2 linked regions of the Ovis aries genome follow. The protein of the gene in region 2 interacts with the protein of the main gene of each other region in a pairwise test. Links are inferred from orthologs where the notes say so. Each region holds a gene or a part of one and is shown on either strand. Other genes may lie near its edges. The genes, in order: RAB5B and EEA1.

Region 1 (4,247 bases), about 34 Mb from region 2:
CTCCTCTTCTCCAAATATATTTTTGTAACTCCAGATCTATGTTTGAAATTCTATACTGATAATTTTCATTCTTTAACTCCCTCTTTAAAAAGCAAAAACTCTCAGGAGGATTAACACTTTAAATGATTATTAGTTATTTACAACCTAATGTGGAGCAATTTTAGATCATTTTTCTTGAAAGTAGGCTTTGATTAAGGGGAAGGTAGAAAAGATAAGAGATGTATAGAAGAAAGGGACAAAAAAAAAAAAAGGGACAGGATATCATCAGGATGCAGGAAATGGCAAAGCCTAGTGAGGATTTAAAACATACACATCTACACAATTTCCCTAGAACTGACTTTGCAGAAGAGAAAATAAAAGCTTTTGGAGGGACAACAATCAAGGTTTCCAAGGGCACTGTACAAAGGCTGGGCACATCACAGGGCTTCTAAAGCCAGTAAGGACAAATTCAATTAATAAGGTGGTGTAAAAAAATGTCCCAGCTGTGTTGAGGTTTAGAGGAAAACCAATTTCAAAGCCAGAAAAATTTGCAAGCTTCTCATATCACTATAGAAAGATAGACACAGAGGCCCTTTAGAAGAACCACCATCTTCTTTGGGGATAATGAAGGGAGAGTCATATAATTTGAACATGCAGAGACCATGAACCACAGGACAGAAATCTCTAATTCCTCACTTTAGCAAAGATGCCAATAATTTTCCCAAACAAAATGATTCACTTCAACTTTTCTTTCCTGCCCATAAAAGAGAAAGACATTTTGGCCATCTATTTGGGCATTTCCTTAGGATACCTAGTGCACAAGTCGGGTGTGTGTGTCTGTTTAAGAATGTGAAGGGATAACCCAGAGTACAGCTCTCTACTTGTCTGAATTTGATAAAAGCAAGACAGAATGAACTGTAAAAGGAGCACAATAAATAACAGAGTATCATCCCAGAAGGGAAAACTGGAAAGGAGAAGCCAGTGCATGGTGGGAACATGAAAACAGAATTGCCTTTGCTGGCACATTGCCCAAAGTGAAGTAAGATTAGTTTGATCTGCTGTCTCTTATCTCTGACCTTTCTGGATGAAATGAGTGGGGTATATGTGGGAGGTTTTACACTTTTTACACTTCCATAAAACCTGAATATTTTAAGATGTACATACCACTTTTCTAATTAAAAAGAAAGTAGTTATAAAATACAGTGTTATAAAATGGAAAAAGGAGGAAGTATAATAAGGGAAAATCCAATATGCTCCAATCTATGGGGGGAACTAAGGAGGTCAGTAGACTGTTAAAAATATATGGGAGGAAGGGACCTCTGGGTCTTAGAAATCCATCTTCCTTTTCTCTACTCACCTCCTTCCCCGAGTGCCTCTGTTTGACCCAGCTTTCTAATAGCTCAGAAACCCCGGCTCCTGAAGAAGTAGACAAAGAACGGGTGATGCCAACCTTCTGGAATGGAATTTCTCTCTTCCCCAAATCCCTTCCTCTGTGATATCACCTCATATTTCCAGGCTTGATTCCACATAATCATTACCTGCCTGGGAAATACCCAAGTCTAAGTACCACAAAAGTTTCACCAACTATAGTCAGAAGATCTCTGGATGGTTGGGGATACCTAAGCATTTCTAGAGCAGAAAATGAATCACTGATTCCCCACTTTCAGGTGAGAGATATGGTCCCCAATATAGACCATATTATTAAGCAGGAAAGAAAGGAACAAACATCCCCCAAACCCTACTTCTTAGCTTTTTCACAGGACATGAAACAGGAGGTAAGAAACACCGAGACTGCAGCCTAAACCAGCTTGAGGCCAAGGGAGAGAGTAGGGGCTGAGTTGGGAACTGCCAACAGTCACAGAAAAAAAACCAGTTTGTCTTCACTGTCCACCTTGAGAGTACCAGAAAACTTCAACTTGCCACATCTCCACACCAATGGGAACAAAAGCGCGAGTACTCGCAAAACCCAAGGCCCCCAGCCCACCCTTCAGCATTCCCAGAAGCTCCCATCACTGATTCGTGGCCCTGCTTCCACCAGTCCGGCTACCTGAGTCTTCTAGATCAGGAAAGCTTTCTTCGCTTGTGTCAGTTCTCCCACACTGAGTCCAAATCCCTCTCGGCTCAACTCTGGGGCACCCTAGTTATTTTTATAATAGCCACTTTGCTTGAAAAGAATGCCTCTTACCCAGTTAAGAGCCCTTCCCTCACCCTTCCAAAGAGAGCTCTCGAGAGTCCCGCCCCGGTTCCCCTCGGGGCCTGGACGTCGGGTTTGACCCCTCCTCACCTCCCGGCGAATGACTTACCTCACCCGCCGCCCAGTCCCTTTCCCCCAGCTCCTCCCTCTTCGGCGCCGCTCACTGAGGCCTGCCCCTGCCCGCACGGGAGCCCCGGGCCTCCTGCGCCGGCCCATAGCCCAGCCGCCAAAACCTCCCGGCCGCCTCCCCGACTCACCAACTTCAGGCTCCCAGCCCGCCCGGCCCCCTCCTCAGCGCCCCCATTAGGCCTGCCGGGGCCTGGTCCCCTTCTCCCCTCTCCGGTGGGCCATTCTAACCCCTCGCGGAGGCCCAGACCCTCCTCTGCCCTCAGGCCAGGCCGCTTTCCTCTCCGGGGTGCCTCCGCCCCTGCCCTTGCGGGCTCCATCAGCCCGGTACCTGGGGCTCCGTCTCCCCCGTCGGGCCCAAGCCTGTGTCGAACAGACAAACAGCTGCAGCTCAACCAAACCCTCCTGCCCCTCCTCCTCCTCCTCGCCCTGGGGCGGGGCCCCAGCCAATTGCACGACTACCCGCCTACCGTCAAGGGTGGGCTCTCTGCGTGCTAATCCGCCAATCTTCTGGAGAAAGGCGGGACTCTTTCGGCGCTGTCACCAACGAGTACGAGCGAAGGACTGGATAGGCGAGACCCCAGACCAATACAGTGAGGGAAACCTTGAAGATGGACGAGGTGAGGAGCCACTAAAGGGCGAGCTCCTCAAACTAGCGGGCGGCACCCCGTTGATAGGCGTATACTTTAACCAATAAAATCTCGATGCCCTCATGACCCCGCCTTTTAATTTATAAACATCTAATCAGGTGAGCGGTGGAGGCGGGTCAAAGTGAAACTTCAACCAGTACTGCGAAAAGTCGGGACTTGAATGGCAGGCAAGGCGGGGTTGAAAGAGGCCTTAGGAACGCCGCTACTGACCTTCGCCCCTCCCCCGGGGATTGGTGGGGGCTACCTCCAGCGCCCCGCCTTCGATGACAAATTCGCGGGCGTGAAGGGAAATACCTCTCCTAAGGACCCGGAGCTTGGGAATTTAAGCAGCCTTCACGTCGGTGCTTCCTCCTTTTAGTTGGGGCCTCAGAGCACAGGAATTTCGGGGGTGGCCCTCAGGCAGTCTGAGATGTTTTCTGGTGAGTTGAGACAGTGGCAGGTCCAAGAACTGGTAGTTTGGGGAGGCTTTAGCCCCTTTACAATAATTTTCGTACAGACGGTTGATACATTCAGAATCATTTGTAAATATGAATAAATATATTTGAAAAACTCTGTAATATGCAAAAAGAAAAGAAAAAAAGGCAAACTTATTGGGAAACGCAGCGTCAATGCGAATTCCCTTGGAGCTCACTTCCAACGTAGTGCTGCTCCTGAGCCCTAACAAACATTGCAAATCTCGAACTGGAGCCTTGTATGTATGTGTGTGTGTGTGATATAGGTGGTGGGTAGGGTGGTGAGACGCGCAGGTTTAGGGGAAAGTGAAGTAGGAAATGCATAAACTTCACTTTCCTCAGCCGTAAAATGGGGGCAATAATTCCCGCTTCGCCCACCCGTACACTGTCCACTGCATCACAGAGGTCGAAATGGAGTGAGGTGGGAAGCCGTGCTCAGACAGATTAAGAGGGGTCTTAAATCTATTATCACATACACACATCCATATTCTCTCTCACACCATTCTTTCAATAAATACACAAAAGCGGAAAGAGATGAACTGTAAAACTAGGAACTTTTTTTAAATCAGTTACAAACTAAATTACAAATAATATTAACAGCAAGAACACTCAGGGACAAAAGGTGGGAGAAGAGAGACAAAATCATAAAAAGAAAAAAAGGTTTTTTTAAAAAAACACAACATATTTGCATTACAAACCCCAAGGTGCACATGGCAACAAATCCCCACCCATTCCCACTTAAAAAACTACTATAACCTGAAATATAAATATAATTGTTCATCCTTCTTTTAAAGAAATATTTTTTCCCCAATGTCCCCACTCAGTCACAGCCCTAAGTGTCAGAAT
Region 2 (3,817 bases):
CTTAAAGTTTAAAGTATTTTGAGAAAGACCATAAATAAGCCTAATAATATATATGAGATTACATTTACCCATCAACATAAAGCACCTGAACTGAAGTTGTACACACTCTGAGATACTACGTTTATACACATAATAGCTCAACAACTTTTTCTAGGAAGACTTATTTTAGAAGCCAAAAGATACAACAGGATATTAAGCAGGCTAATAACAAAGTAACGCTTTTATACTGTAAATATTTTCAATGTTCAAGATACCATTTTTTATAATATTTTTAATTACATTGATTACATTATAATACTTGTTCAATTGATTTGGAATATTTAATTGCAGAGCAAAAAAAATAAAGATTATTAGGAAATCCATTGCCCATAGATACTATTAATGTTTTGATAACTTTCCTTCTAGACTTTTCTGTATGTTAGGTTCTATTTCTTTATTTCTATTTTTCAGATAAGGATATCAGTTTACATACAGTATTACTGTAACTTCCTTTGTTTTATAACAAAGCATCATAAAACTGTGACATTATCTTCCAAACTATCATTATACATGACTGCATAAATTTCTATTGTATTCATATAGATCATTATTTAGCCGAATACCCTCGGCTGTATTCTTGGATTGCTATAAACCTTTCCAACAAATATGCAAACACCATCCTTAAAACTATGATTATTTCCCTAGGGTAAAGGACTAAAAGTGAGATTAAGAATATGAAAAAGCTTAAAGGTCTTAAATATACTGCCTACCAGCTTTCCCTATTACCATCAAAAGCTTGAACTGCAAGCAACGTGTGGAAGTGACTTGTTCTTCTATACCATCTCTAGCCTTTCCAGTGTTAAACACGTGCACCCAAACATTTTACCTTAATAAGGGTATACTACTGTCTTAATTTGCAATTAATTCTTAATGAATATGAAGATTTCCTAATATAGTTTTGATCTTTTACTTCTTTTGGTAGATTCATTTATTTCTTATGTAAAAATGTTTTAAACAAAAATATCAATCTTTCATCAGACATATTTCAGAAAATGCTCTATTATTTTGCTACTTACTTTAGAATTTTGCTCGTAATATTTTGGGCAAATAAAAATTTCAACTTTTATGTGGTTACTCTTATACATACTTTTTCCATTATACTTTCTGGCACTGACCTAGTACTTAGAAAATACATTATAGATGTGTTTAGCAATAATGTAAAGTAAAAACCTAGTTGTAGAACAACATACATAGTGATACCATCTGTATAAAACAAAAAGACCTGTATGTGTACACACACACATATTTTTTCTTCAATGTTTACAGAAGTCTGGAAGGATATATACCAAACATAAAAGCAAAATTTCCATGTAAGGAGAAAAATGGATTGCAGTTAAAGGTAAATATAGAGAAAGGTTTTATTAACTTGATATATAGTACTGTATTATTAATAAAACTTTTTGGATCAACAACCAGTATTGCTTCTCAAGTAAAAAGTAAATTTTTAAAATTCCTACCTGGTCAAAGGTAAGAAAAATCTACCAGCATTTTAACCTTGGATTCTGAAGTAGGAAGCTTTTTCCTATCAGAAGTGCTGAGAAGAGTAACTCTGGTATTCTTCCTAGCCCCACTTTTACTCCTACCCCCAGGAAAAGAGTAGTAACTCTTATAATTGAAATGGAATACATGCTGCTCTTTTCCTGCCAAGAGGCAAGTATACCTGGGTCACCGCCTGACTGTCCACTTAAAACAGCTGTGAAGTCTCTCTTTCCCAGTCATTGCCACTTAATAGGATGAAGAAACAATTCAAAAATTAGGAGTAAATATTTCATCACACCAAGGTCTCTATTATGGGAGAAAGACAGTATTAAGAAGCTCAACCACAACTGCACAAGTTGAACTTTATCAAGAACATAAATAACATACTTCTCTTTTTTTGGCTGCACCTCACAGTTTGCAGGATTATGAGTTCCCCAAGCAGGGACTGAACCCAGGCCACCATAACAAAAGCACCAAGTCTTAACCACTCACTGCCAGGGAATTCCCAAAGATTATATTTTATCTCCATCTGTCTAACTCCTGCATATTCCACTCACTGGTTCCAAACTCAAGGAGAAATTAAGGAGAATAAGCAAGTCAATCACAATATTATATCAAAGTATAATTTTCACATATTTTTCCAGTTAATTTATCTACCAAAACATTAGGTTATGACAGGAAACTGCATCAAGTTCTCCTACCTGCTGTTTATCTTGTAATGCATTTTGGGCTGTGTCCAAATGATTCTGAAGATCTGCTCTTTGAGCAGTTTTTGCTGCTTCTGCTGATAGCAATAATTCAGTTTTGGCTTTAACCTGTAACAAAATTTACAACTCATTTAATTTGTATTTAGTTCTTGGTTTCCGCTTGATGAGTGTAAAATACTTTTCTCATTAATTTTAAAGTTTAAATATTTCAGCAGAAAACAAAAATTTAGACATTAAAAAATAAGTACGTGATAATCCCCCAAACAGGAATAAATAGGGGAGAATACTCCTAATAATGTTCTGCTGCTGCTAAGTCTCATCAGTCGTGCCCGACTCTGTGTGACCCCATAGACGCACCCAACAGGCTCCTCTGTCCCTGGGATTCTCCAGGCAAGAACACTAGAGTGGGTTGCCATTTCCTTCTCCAATGCAAGAAAGTGAAAAGTGAAGTCGCTCAGTCGTGTCCAACTCTTAGCAACCCCATGCACCGCAGCCTACCACGCTCCTCCATCCATAGGATTCTCCAGGCAAGAGTACTGGAGTGGGTTGCCATTGCCTTCTCCAGTGTAAAAAACGTCCCTATAGAACACCAAAACACTTTCTCTCTTAAATTGGACATCCACATATTGAATTATCTGTAACTCATCTAATAAGTTTTAAAAAGAGGTGTATCCTCTTTTTTCCAAATTCTTATACTTGTTATTGTATTATTTCTGGTTTTAATGGAATTATTCTCCTAAAATAAAGAAAATTTAGGCTTAGAAATGTTTCTAAAACCTTCTCTACTATAGTCTAGAATAAAAAAACAATGAGAATGGAGAAAGAAATATATCTTAATTCCCACCCCGTGACTGACTCACTCCGTAAGGCTTCCATATTGGCGTCTGAAAGAAGACATATTAAAATACATAATTGTACTGTATATTTTTTGGCTGCACATGCAGCTTGAGGGATTTTAGTTTCCCAACTAGGGACTGAATATGGGCCTCAACAGTGAAAGCGCCAAGTCCTAACCACTGGATCACCAGAGAATCCCTTAAAGTTTTCAGTGTGTGTTTTTTTTTTTTTAATTAAATCAAACATTTGAAGTAAAATTTAAAAATCAAATTCAAAATCAAACATCTGTAACAGAAATCTAATGGTATAATAACAAACTACTTTAAACTTCAAAAACAGTAGTGAGGGCCTCATGGAAAAAGAGAAAACTGAAAAACGGGTAGGGAGAAAGGCAAACAGGAAAGCTCAGCAAACTGTCCACATGCAACTTTAATTCCTATTTCTATTTCTCCAGTTAATAAGTAAGGCAGGGGATGGAGAGGCAGAGAGAAAAACAATTTAAATATGATAGCTTAAAACTGGTGTTTTATTCATACAAACAAGTTGCACAATGCAATATTACCTGTATATCAAGCTGGGAAACCTTCTCCTTGCTTTCATTTAACTGACTATTTAATTCACTGATGCTGGATTCTAGGGAAAGGACACGGTCTTGTGCAGCTCTAAGATGTGCCTTCTGCTCCTGCACCTGGTCATGCAAATTCTCCTGGGCTTGTTTATGGCTTTCTGACTGATTCTTCAGCTTCTCTGTTAGC

What was found.
Region 1: the proteins of EEA1 (region 2) and RAB5B interact in binary tests that used the Homo sapiens proteins (3 or more experiments, as listed by UniProt). The link is inferred for Ovis aries from reciprocal best matches to the Homo sapiens genes EEA1 and RAB5B.

What each region holds. Positions count from the first base shown.
Region 1 is NC_056056.1:163,550,095-163,554,341, forward strand, and holds the start of RAB5B (ras-related protein Rab-5B), read right to left. Parts: upstream 2,866-4,247; 5' UTR 2,770-2,865; intron 2,670-2,769; exon of another isoform or gene 2,027-2,669; intron 1,522-2,026; exon of another isoform or gene 1,396-1,521; 5' UTR 1,337-1,395; intron 1-1,336. UniProt on the Homo sapiens protein: The small GTPases Rab are key regulators of intracellular membrane trafficking, from the formation of transport vesicles to their fusion with membranes.
Region 2 is NC_056056.1:129,190,476-129,194,292, forward strand, and holds part of EEA1 (early endosome antigen 1), read right to left. Parts: coding exon 3,625-3,817; intron 2,334-3,624; coding exon 2,220-2,333; intron 1-2,219. UniProt on the Homo sapiens protein: Binds phospholipid vesicles containing phosphatidylinositol 3-phosphate and participates in endosomal trafficking.